Canis lupus familiaris: one gene and its partners. The protein of the gene in region 3 purifies or fractionates together with the protein of the main gene of each other region. This does not show direct contact. Links are inferred from orthologs where the notes say so. Each region holds a gene or a part of one and is shown on either strand. Other genes may lie near its edges.

Region 1 (4,161 bases), on a different chromosome or scaffold from region 3:
CGGTAAGGTGGGGGATGCCCATTTTCTTTCGAAAACGATCTAGCAGGGCCCACAAGCAGATATTTTAGCAAAGTAGCTGGAAACAGGCATAAGGACGCTCATGGATCACGTGAGTTCTCCTTTCTTCCTCGAAACATTCTAAAAGCGCCCTGTTCATTCCAAAGTAGACATTCTGAGTGAGGCTTCTTTTCAAAGGAAAAATCGCATATTGTGCTTATAAAAAGACAAAAATTCGCAACTGCCTTTACCAGCTAAATTTAAGGAAAGGCTTCCCGGAAAAAGTGGAGGGATGCATTTCTTTCGCTTATTTAAAAGTCGTCGGCGGCGTCCCTATGGATCTTGGGGGTGACCAGGAGGGGATGTGCTCCGGGAGGCACCGCGGCCGGGACGCGGGAGGAGCCCGCCCGGGTCTGCACGTGCGGGGGGCGGGGGCTCCCCGAGCTGCACGGTCTCCCGCGGGGGCGCCCGGGCGAGCGGAGCCGGCTTTGCTCAGGGGGGCGGGTGCGCGCCGGGGCGGCGCGGCCTCGGCCTCGGCCTGCGCCCCCGAGCCTGACCCAGGCAGTGGCGAGCGGCGGCCACACCGGGGCAGCCTCTCCCCCGCGGGCGGCCGGCCGAGGGGTCCGGAAGCATATGCCCGCCTCCCCCCCGGACCATCGCGGCGCGCTCGGGGCTCGGGGCGCAGGGAGCGCGAAGGGGGTGGCCCGGGGCGCCCCGGGCGCCCCGCCCCCGCCCCCAGCCCCCCACGCCCAGGCCGCCCCGGCCCCATTGCGCGCGCGGGGAGGGCCGGCTCGGGGCGCACCCCCGCTCCCGCCCCCGCCCCCGCCCCGCCAGCCCTCGAGCGCCGCCCCCGAGCCCCGCGGGTGGGGGGGGCCTGGGCCCCGAGCCCCGCCGCGCGGCCTCTGATTGGCTTGGGGGGCGCGTGCGCCCGCCCCGGCGAGCGGGGAGGGTCCCCCCGGGCGCCGGGCGGGGGCGGGGGCGGGGGCCGGGGCGGGGAGAGCGGGGGCCGCGGGGAGCCGGGCTCGGGCGCGCGGAGAGCCGGCTCGGAGAGCGCCGGGGAGGGCGGCCGGCGGGCTGGGCGCGCTCCCGGGGCCGCCTGCCTGCACCGCCCCGCGGCCTTCCGGGAGGAAGCGGCGCCCGCGGCGGCCGGGGCGGGCGCTCGGGGCGGGCGCTCGGGCTCCCTCACCTGCCGGCGCCCGGGTCCCCCCGCAGCCCGCCCGCGGGACGCGCCAGGCCGGGCGCCGAGCAGCGCAGGAGCGCAGGAGCGCAGGAGCCGCCGGCCCAGCCGCCCGGGAGCGCCCCGCAGCCCGCGGGGGGCGCCGGCTCCATGGCGACCGGGCTCGGGGAGCCGATCTACGGACTTTCGGAGGACGAGGTGAGCGGCGGCCGCCCGGGTCCCGGCGGGCGCGGGGTCTGCGGGCGGGGTGCGCGCCGCCCTGGGCCGCGGGGACGGAGACGCGTGCGCCCCTCGGCCGCGCTCCCGGGCTCCCGGGCAACTTCCCGCCGCTCGGCCCTGCGGCCCGGGAGCCCACGCCGCGCGTCGCGGCCGGGTGTCGGCGGGACCTCCCGGGGCCGAGCGGCGGGCGCCCCGGGGCTGCGTGCGCGCAGGGGCAGGGGCAGGGGCGGGGGCCGAGGCCGGCGCGCCCGGGGGTCCCGGGGGTCCCGGGGCGGGGGCGCGGCCAGGGGCGGCAGGTGCCGCCGGAAACTTGGAGGGAGCCCGCAGCCCTGCCATGTCTTCTTTTCTTTTCTTTTCTTTTCTTTTCTTTTCTTTTCTTTTCTTTTCTTTTCTTTTCTTTTCTTCCTTTTTTTCCTCGGCCCCCCCCCCCCCCGGCTTCCGAGCCCGGCACCCCCGGGGTAGGTGGAGAGACAAAAGCTCAATCGCTCCCCCTTATTAATAAAGCAGATGCGGGAAGCCACGCCCCCGAGGCTGTGGCTGCGCGGGGTGAGCTTTGTTCGCGGCCTCCGAGGTGTCCCCGCGGCCCCCGCCCCCCCGCCCGCCCGGAGGGGACCCCGCGCCCGCGCCCGCCTCGGCCCCGGAGGGCGGGGACAGGTAGGGGGGCCCGTCGGCGGGGCGCGGGCGCGGGGCTCCCGGGGGCGCTTTACGGCCCTCGGTGCATTACTCAGCGGGGAGGTATTTCCTCTCCTGGTCGTGCGTTTCATGAAAAGTTGATGCCTGGAAATTCGAGGGTTTCGGGCTTTCTCTTTCTTCCCCCTCCTTTCTTTTCCGAGGTCCCCTCTTTCTCGGGTGCTGGGGGTGGGGTTGCTGGAGAGGCTGTTATCCGGACCTGCCCCGTGATGGCTTCTCTCTCTGCAGCTTTCCTGCCCTGGTTGGGGGTGTGTGTGCGTGCGTGTGTGTGTGTGTGTGTGTGCTTTGCAAGTGTGTGATGGAATCGTGTGTGTGTGCTTTGTGACTAATGGAATTGTGCGTGTGTGCACTTTGCAAGTGTGTAATGGAATCGTGTGTCTGTGCTTTGTAAGTGTGTAATGGAATAGTTACCTGGGGGTGGAGAGAGTGTTTGGGGGTAGGACTTTTTTTTTTTTTTTTCTTTCTTTCTTTCTCTCTCGCCAGAGCTACCTAAAGCTTGCCTCGGTATGTATTTTATCAAAGAATGATCACAATGCAAATAATGTGTGATTTACGTTTTCGATTATTTTGCCCTGCTGTGCTCAGGGCGAGGTAATTTCCCCCTTTTTTGAAGGGGGGGGGCAGTTACCTGGGGATGGGTGGTGAAAAGGCTCCTTGTTGCTTTCACCCAGGGGTTTCTCCCGCTCCCCGGCTCCTCTACCCTTTTGAGGAGCTTTCCCTTTCATTCGGTACTTCTCCATTTAATTAGCAGCCCTAGATGGCAGGCAGTGAGCTTTTAGAAAGGTGCTGAGATACTGACATTCCTGAACAAAGGGCTTTTTGAGGTATGGTGGGGGGAAGACAGCTGCACTTCAGCTTTGGTCTCTTGTAAATTTTAAATTACATGATTCTTAGCGCACCAAAGAAAAATATATTAAGAGTGTTTGGAGAAATTCAACTTGATGAATGGATTCTCTGCGTGCCCCTGTTGTGTGTTCTTTGTTTACATTTATATCTAGTGTCACCATCTACCTAGGGCACATCCTGCCTCTTTAGTTAACTCAGATCTCCTTAACTGGTGTCCAGTGTGAAAGCGAAGGGTGGAATATAAACAGAATTGGTATGTGTGTGTATATACGTGTGTATGTGTATGACTGGGTTTACTCCTGCACGTCGCTGGACCGGTGTTTAGGGCTGGTGTGGGGAACAGCCCAAGGTGCTAAGGCCATTTTCTTGATTGAGTGATGGATATGTTGCTGGGACTATTAAGTTCCTTCCGCACGTTAGATTACAAAAGACAAGTGGCATCTGTTGTCTTTTTTCAGCTTCTACCAGTGGGGGGGGGGGGGGGGGGAATAAGGCAAGACTGTTTTTGATGACTTCACATTTCTATGGTGTTTGCTTTTTTTATGGGAGGTATCGCACCGTCGGGTTAGCCTTTGGAAAATCAGGGAATGCCTTCGTAGAATATTAACAAATTGTTGAATTTGCACAGCTTGTTTTGTCTCCCTGAATTAGTCTGTGTAAGAAAACAAATGAAAGATCTTAACAGGCTCTTAAAGCAGACTGGCTCATGAAACCAATGGCAGGGTTGTTTTTCCAAGGCGTGTTAAGTATGAGTGCACTTCAGTTCACACACTTGGTGTGCTGCCGAACATCACACGTGAAGATATGTTGATTGCTACATAAGAGCTATCTTACACATCTCTTAGCAAACTAGGTGTCCTTATACCTAGCACATTTCTTAAAAGTGAGTTTGTATTTTCATTGGAAGTTGATGGAAAGCGTTGCGTGTTTGGAGCGCACTTAGCTTTCTGTCCCATCTCAGAAAGATTTTTTAGCTCTAAGTACTACTGGTGATGAAGCATTGCAGGGGGATGCCAAGACAGGATCTTGCTCCCAGGTCTCTCCAGCTTGTAGAAAGAGAGGAATTAAATATGGGCTTTGCTTGTGTGAGTGCGTGTACTGTTTATTTTTTGTGTGTCTTGTTGAGGTTCCTCAGTGAGCTCAAGCTCCTATTTACTGATTTGAATCAGGTCACCTTAGGGAAACCAAATTTGAAATTGCCATCAGATGAAGGACTTTGGTGTTTGAGAGAT
Region 2 (3,644 bases), on a different chromosome or scaffold from region 3:
GATAGTTTGTAAAATTCTGTTTATATCCTACAAATTGGTATAAAGCAATGACCTACAAATTTTTTCCCCAGTACCCAACACACAAAATACATCATATATCATAACCTATTTATATATCCATTGAAAACTGGAACAAGAATTTCACAAATCATTATTTCCTCTTTCTACATGTTATACACTCTATTGGTATAGAGTATTTGTTCTACTGTACTCTCTCATTTAAAAAAGAAAAATGCTGGTCAGGACCCCTGGGTGGCTTAATGGTTGAGCATCTGCCTTTGGCTCAGGGGTCCCAGGATCAAGTCCTGCATTGAGCTCCCCATGGGGAGTCTGCTTCTCCCTCTGCCTGTGTCTTTGCCTCTCTCTCTCTCTCATGAATAAAGAAATAAAATCTTTTTAAAAAAATTCTGGTCATTACTCACTAACTTCATCAACCATTAGTGGACTCATCAATTAACTTGTAATTGAAAATCACAGGACAGATTCTATCTGAAGAGGATATCAATTAAAAAAAAAAAAAACACGCACTTAATGTAATCTTATTATATTCAAACCCAAAGAACTCCTGAAGTGAAAAGTATGATATTCTTATTTAAGTCACTCTTTAAATTCTACCTTGTTCAACAGAGCAACTGAACAAACTTATGAACTACCTCATTCTCAAAAGCAGATCCATCAAGGGTGAAAGCCTAGAGATGCCTTGAACAGAGGAAGTCTAGCTAATTGAGTGGTTAAATAATATTAAAGATGAAAGTTAACTGTAACTAGCCTTCTATTTCAAGTCTTTACATGTTCCTGCTTCCCAAAGTGCCATCTTAGTTCTTTGGCCCATTATGCAGTCTCTTTGGACACTTCATTCTTTTCTCTGGACTCAAATGATCTTTTGATTCCAAATCTTAATCTTGAGCCCAAACCTCCCTCTTGTGTTTTAGACTTCTATTTTTAACTGCCTACTAGACAAGTCTTTTTTGAAGTCAATAGGTAATTTTAACTCCATATATTCCAACCTGAATTTATTTTCCCCACAGATTTGCTCCACATCCTCTTTTGTGACTAGTCACCTTCAATCCAGTTACCCAAACTAGAAACTTGGATCACTCTCAGTTTTTCTCTCCATCCTCCTCATATTAGCTGCAGACTATAGCCTACCTCTTTAATTCTTAAACTTTACTGTTATAAATATTATTGTTAGCAGAATTACTGCCAAAGTTGCTTAACTCGTCTTCCCATCACTAATCACCTCCCCCACCTCGTCCCATAGTGTTATCTTAAAGTAAAAATTTTACGGTTACTCCCACTACTTAAAATCCTTTTTAAGGATCTATTTATTCTATACAGGTCTTATCACCAGTAGCATAAAGCTTACACATACTTCAGAGTATATAAAGCCTTTTCTGATCAAGCTCCTGTCAATCTTTCCTGCTTTATCCCCCACTACTTTCTCACATAGCTTGAACTCTCAGTTCTCCAAAATGGAGGCAATCTCTCACACTTCTTTAACTCAGAAGCCTTCCCTAAAATTCCAACTCCCCTCCTCCTACCTGCTGCCTCATCCCACTCATCCTTCCAGAAAGTATAAGACTTTTCTCTATTACAGAAACTGTCCTATGCTAAGAGTTTATTTTTAAAAATATTTTATTTTATTCATGAGAGACACAGAGAGAGAGAGGCAGAGACATAGGCAGAGGGAGAAGCAGGCTTCTTCCAGGGAGTCTGATGCCGGACTCAATCCCAGGACCCTGGGATCACAGCCTGAGCCAAAGGCAGATACTCAACCATGAACCATGCAGGTGACTCTCTAAAAGTTTATTTTATATTGCTTTCCCACTTGATTTTAACTACTGGGGGGAAATGATTCAGTGATTTTAGATTTCTCAAGCACTTAAAAAAAATGTGCAAGGATTATATGAAAAAAATGAATCCAGGACTGGGGATATAGTTACCTTCTTCAATGGATTTTAAGACAAGGACAAAACCTGGAATGGTAGGTAGGCTCTAAGTGATACTTGTTTCATAGTACTTATAGGTTTTTTTTAGAAACCATTTACCTGTTTCTTGTGCTTTTATATTTTGTAGCTCTTGCTGGTGTATTTCCTGAAGTTCTTTTATCTTTTCCTCTTGGGCAGAAATAAGTTCCTCCTTAAGACTACAAAGAGCTTTATCTTTTTCATTTTCCATATATTCACGAACCTGATCCACATGTGTTGAATAAACCAGAGAGAGGCATATACGCTGAGCTTCCATCTGTAGCCTTAAATCATTCTTAAAGCGAATGTATGTACACATTAGAACATTTTTAAATGATTTAAAATTTTAAATAATATAACTTCTATTTCTTACATATACTGACTACAAGAGGGAAATACATGAAATTATAGTTTGAAACTTCACATAAGTCTAATTTTTTTCTCACTTCATTTTGTTACATTCATCTACCTATCTTTTCAAGGAAATTAGCACAATATTGTCATTATCTCAACTTTATGGTAAACTTTGATGTATCATATAGCTTAGTATGGCCTCATCTTTAATTTTTGTTTAAAAATAGTATTTTAAATATAGAGAAATGCAAAGAATAATGTAACAAATGCTTATGTACTCATACCCCAAATTAACAAATACAATTACTTCATTTTTGTTTTTACAAATAACAATTATTTTGTCTTTTTATTCTCATTTCTTTCCTTTCTACATACCTTTTTGGTTTAGAAAGAAAACAAAATTTAATCCACTATGTTCCCATTCTTCCTTCCCCAGAGGCATTCATTATCACAAATTTGCAACAAGTCCATTGCATTTCTTATACTATCACTTTCAATACCTATAAACAATACATTATATTGCATGTTTCTAAGAATTTACATAATGGTTCCAAACTGTATTTTGCAAATTGTTCTTCTCACTCAATATACTTCTAGGTCTAACCATGTAGATACAAATTAATTAAAATGTGGCATAGTACTTATAAATGCAGGAAAATTTGTCACCTTCCTTCTTGGAGTTTAACTGGACTATTTCTAATTTTTTGATATGTCAAAAATACTGCACTAAATTCTTAGAGATAGGTCCCTATACAAATACACTAGTGTTTCCCTAGTAGCGTGGATCTCAAACTTTAGCAGATATCAGGAATGCTTATTAAAATCGACTGCTGGATCCTTTCCCCAGGGTTTCTGGTTTAAGAGGTCTGGTGTGGGGCCCCAAATTTTGAATTTTACCCTGTTTTGAAGTGCTGCCGATACTGCTAGTCAAAGACCATACTGAGAACCACCTAGAAATGTAGCTGCTGGGTCACAGGGAATGTATATTAAATGTATTAAATTTTATCAAATTATTTTTTATATAACTATGCTAATTTACACTGATATTAACAGCATACGTGAGTATTCATCTCCCCATACTTTATTGTGGGACTCATTCTGCCAGTCTGATGGGTATAAAATACTATCTTATTATTTTATCAATTTTTAGGTTTGAAAGTATCTTTTCATGTTTATTAGCCAATTAGCTTGGCTGCGAGAGTAAAGTATTTTGGGGGGGAGTTAGTATGATTTCTAAGCATATTTAGATTGCTCTGAGGTGTTACTACTGAATAAATCATTGCTCTATTTCTTCTGTGAGGTCCCCTCCACACACACATTTTA
Region 3 (3,644 bases):
CCCCAAAGCCCCTGCACTCTCTGTTCCCTCCCAGACCCCTCCACCTCCTCCCAGTCACCTCCTCAGAGGGGTCTTCACCAGCCCCTGCTGCCCCCCCCCCACATGCCGTCGCTCTGCGGCCCTTGTCAGCACGTGCCCTGGTGCACTCTTGGACGTTTACCTGTCCGCCCGCCCCTCAGCCTGAGCTCCCGGGCAGCGCCTGTGCTGAGCCCCCCACGGGGCCCCCGGCAGCATCACCACGCCACGGCCCTCCCTGTCTGCCTGCGACCGTGCCGGCACTTGGCCCCCGAGGTCTGGTTCCCTGGCAGGTGCCCAGCGGGGACCGCCAGGGGGTTCTGGGGCCGGCGGATGCCTGGGAACCGCCAGCTTATTATTCATCATCTTAGGTAAAGAGAAAGAAGTTCAAACAAGACAAGGACAACGGGGTGAGCCCCGGAGAGAAGATGCTCACGGTCCCCCACATCACGTGCGAACCCGTCTCGGAGGAGCGGAGGCCAGACCACTTCTCCGTGGACAACTGTGACAGCTCTGGTGAGACACCCTCGCCCGGGGTGGTGCTGCGGGGACAGGGACAGGCGCTCGGCTCCCCTGACCTAGCGTCTGCCCGGCAACGTCCTGCCCTCCCCACACCCCCAGCTCAAAGGCAGGTACTTCTGAGGAGGTGGGACCCCACCCTGGAGGGACCCTCTGTCCTGCTCTGTCCCACACTCTGTGCTGCCGGGTGCCCGGCCTGCCTAGGTCATGCCATGTGGCTGGCAGCAAGGAGGTGGCCCATACATGTGACCCCCCCCATTCCTGGTGGCGCGGGGATGGGGCATCAGAGCCAACACTGTGCACCCACACTTGGCCCATTCCTCGGCACCATGTACCTTTGCTCTTCTGTCATCCTCTGCCCGGCACCCACCAGAACATGCCAGCTCTTCGGCAGTTGGAAGGGTAGTGTCACCATCTCGACTGTAGCAGAGGGACAGGCTCATATTGTTCCTGACCCTTTGTGCCTATGGGTGCCCACCCTGCCAAGTGCTCCATTCTCAGGCGGCTGACCCCCGATGTGCCCCCCACATTGATCGCAGCCCCCCTGGCAGAAAGCATTCCAGGCAGGGGCTGCAGCCGCTCCCTGCTCCTCGGAGCCGTCTGCGGACCGGGCCGGGGCGCCCACCCCACTGGGCATGGGGCCATCCTGGCCCCATCACACGCTGTTGGGATTCCGCTCTGGCTCAGATCTGGCCACTTCGCTGGTGAGTCCCCAGGACGCGCTCCCCGCCCGCCCCCCGGAGTGGGCACAAGGGACAATTGTGCCAACAAATGCCCACCCCCCCCAACTCCGGATTCAGGGGCAGGACCATTGTCGCCATGCAGATGGGGGCTCTCTGTAAATGCTAATGGGCAGGTCGGCCGTGGGTAGAAGCATCTCTGGCTGTTTGCTGAATGCGGAGCGCTCCATTCAGACTGTTTGCTGTTATTAAGTACCCGGGGATGCCTGCGGAATGTTAACGAGGCACGAGAGCAGGAAAGTCAGGCGCCCTTTGTGGAATGCTTTTGCACGGAGGAGTTTTGCTTTCCCGCCGACGCGATAAGTCAGCCCAGCCTGGAGCCGCGGCATTTCTCGTGCCTGAGCCGTTGGCCTGGCCCCCGGGGGCCCCGAGTGGCCCCCAGCCCGTGGGTGGCAGCGGGGACTCTCAAGAGCCCTGGTGGGGGAGGGAGCAGCGCCAGGAGGGCCTGCCGCTCGGCCCCCATGCGGCAGGACGCCAGCAGCTGTGCTGAGTTCCGCCCCCGGGCAGGACCCAGGCCTTGCACCTGAGCCTCGCCCGCGGGTGGCATCTGGGTGCGCCAGGGGGCATGTGAGGCAGGTGCCATCTCCATCCCAGCACTGGCCTGTAGCTGTCTCCCCAGCTCCGTGGTTTCTCTCCATGTCCCAAGCTCACCGTGTCTCTGGGCTTCTGTTCTGTGACACCCAGGGTCCGGGAAAGGGCTGCCCACCCACATTCACGGCCTGCAGAGCCTCGTCTGTGCCCCTGTGATTCCCAGGCGGGTTTCCTGTTTTCATGGAAAGGGCCCGCAGGAGGACCCTTTGTGGTGGCAGGCAGTGTGGACAGAGGGAGCCCTGCCCAGCAGGCTCCCATCCCTATGCAGGTTCCAGGCCCCCAGCTGCTCACATTGTCCTGGTCACTGGAGTCTGCTCTCAGGACCCCCCTGCATGCAGGGCCGGGTGGAGGCCCATGGGGTGGGGGTGGCAGGGGATCCTTGGCATCCAGGGAGGAAGATGGGCACCAGCAAGGGAGTGGAGCATGTGGACGTCTGGGGTATTGGTGCCAGGCTCAGCCTGGGTGGTCCCGAAGGCTTCTTGGAGGAGGAGGTGCCAGTGCTGAGTAGAGCTGGCTGGGGGGGTAAGCAGCAGGATGGAGATGGGGGACAACCATGCCTCTGTGCGGCTCCACGTGGTCTCCAGCCTAGGGATGCCACGTGTTCTCCTCGTGTGAGGTGGGTGCAAGCCTGCCCTCCTCGTGGAGAGAGAGGCCACGTGGGCGCCTGGCGTGCCGGTGCCGACGTGCCAGGAGCCTGCAGGTGTCAGCCAGCCTGGGCCCTGGAAGTCCACAGAGCAGGAGGAGCTGCAGTCAGCTTTGTGTTCTCTGAGCCTCAGCCAGGATGGTGAGGATGGGAGGCCGGCAGGACGAGCTGGTGGGACATGGTCCCTGTGGGGCGGGGGGTCAGAGGAGCCAAAGCCAGCAAGAGGGGCCTGCGGACCCTGGGCAGCCTGGGTGCGACCCTCCAGGGTAGGGCAGTGTGAGATGCTGGGGGCGCCGGGTACAGAGAGGCCTTCACTCCCACCACACACTCGTCAGAGGTGAGCAAGTCCTGGGAGCTGTGCTGGGGATGCACTGTCGCGGAGCCCGGGGCTGCGTGCGGTATGTTCACAGAAGAGCCTGGCGCTCGTGAGTCTAATTTGTGGGGTGCAGTCTGCAGGGGGCATTGTGCCCCTGGCCACACCTGCCAGGCCTCACCCTCCTCCCTCCCCTCAGTTGGCAGCTGTGCACATAGTGAGGGTCCTGCAGGGCTCCACCAGCTGCTGTCTTGGGGCTGGCACCCCAGATCCCACCCAGCACCCCGGATCCCACCCCACACCCTGTCTCCCACCCAGTGCCCCGGATCCCACCCTGCGCCCCTTCCCCATGTTAGCTGCTGTTGGCCTCTGTTTAGGTTTTGTCTTTTTAAACAATCCTCTGAGTTAGTCACTTGTATGTGGTTGAGATGTGCTTACATTTACCAACAGGTTTGCTAGGTTTCCACTTCAGAGCTTGAGTTTAACGTCCTTCTTCCTGAAGGGCCTTGAGTGGTTAGTGGTTCCTCCAGTGATGATCTATCGACAATCAACTCAGTTTTTATTTGTCTGAAATCTTTATATTTTGCCTTTGCTGTTGGGTGGTGGTCTGGTTGGGGAACAGTCGGATTGAGATACATATTCCCTGTGAACACTGGCAGGTGTGCTGCAGGGGCCAGCATACACATTCTGTCCGGCTCTCTGGCCACCCCGAGTGAGTGACCTGTCCCCTGGGGATCTCAGGTGCATCTCCTTGACTCTAGTGCTGGGTCGCATCACCACAGTGAAGCAGGGAGGCGTTAGCTCTGTCTGTCCCGCCATTGGT

What was found.
Region 1: the proteins of KCNQ1 (region 3) and NEDD4L purify together in Homo sapiens (affinity purification with western blotting, with the first as the bait; 3 studies listed by BioGRID). This does not show direct contact. The link is inferred for Canis lupus familiaris from reciprocal best matches to the Homo sapiens genes KCNQ1 and NEDD4L.
Region 2: the proteins of KCNQ1 (region 3) and AKAP9 purify together in Homo sapiens (affinity purification with western blotting; 3 studies listed by BioGRID and IntAct, with this or other methods). This does not show direct contact. The link is inferred for Canis lupus familiaris from reciprocal best matches to the Homo sapiens genes KCNQ1 and AKAP9.

Annotation. Positions count from the first base shown.
Region 1 is NC_049222.1:18,069,877-18,074,037, reverse strand, and holds the start of NEDD4L (E3 ubiquitin-protein ligase NEDD4-like), read left to right. Parts: upstream 1-1,256; 5' UTR 1,257-1,324; coding exon 1,325-1,372; intron 1,373-2,117; exon of another isoform or gene 2,118-2,396; intron 2,397-4,161. UniProt on the Homo sapiens protein: E3 ubiquitin-protein ligase that mediates the polyubiquitination of lysine and cysteine residues on target proteins and is thereby implicated in the regulation of various signaling pathways including autophagy, innate immunity or DNA repair.
Region 2 is NC_049235.1:17,592,257-17,595,900, reverse strand, and holds part of AKAP9 (A-kinase anchor protein 9), read right to left. Parts: intron 2,263-3,644; coding exon 2,049-2,262; intron 1-2,048. UniProt on the Homo sapiens protein: Scaffolding protein that assembles several protein kinases and phosphatases on the centrosome and Golgi apparatus. Required to maintain the integrity of the Golgi apparatus. Required for microtubule nucleation at the cis-side of the Golgi apparatus.
Region 3 is NC_049239.1:47,059,413-47,063,056, forward strand, and holds part of KCNQ1 (potassium voltage-gated channel subfamily KQT member 1), read left to right. Parts: intron 1-386; coding exon 387-531; intron 532-3,644. UniProt on the Homo sapiens protein: Pore-forming subunit of the voltage-gated potassium (Kv) channel involved in the regulation of cardiomyocyte excitability and important in normal development and functions of myocardium, inner ear, stomach and colon.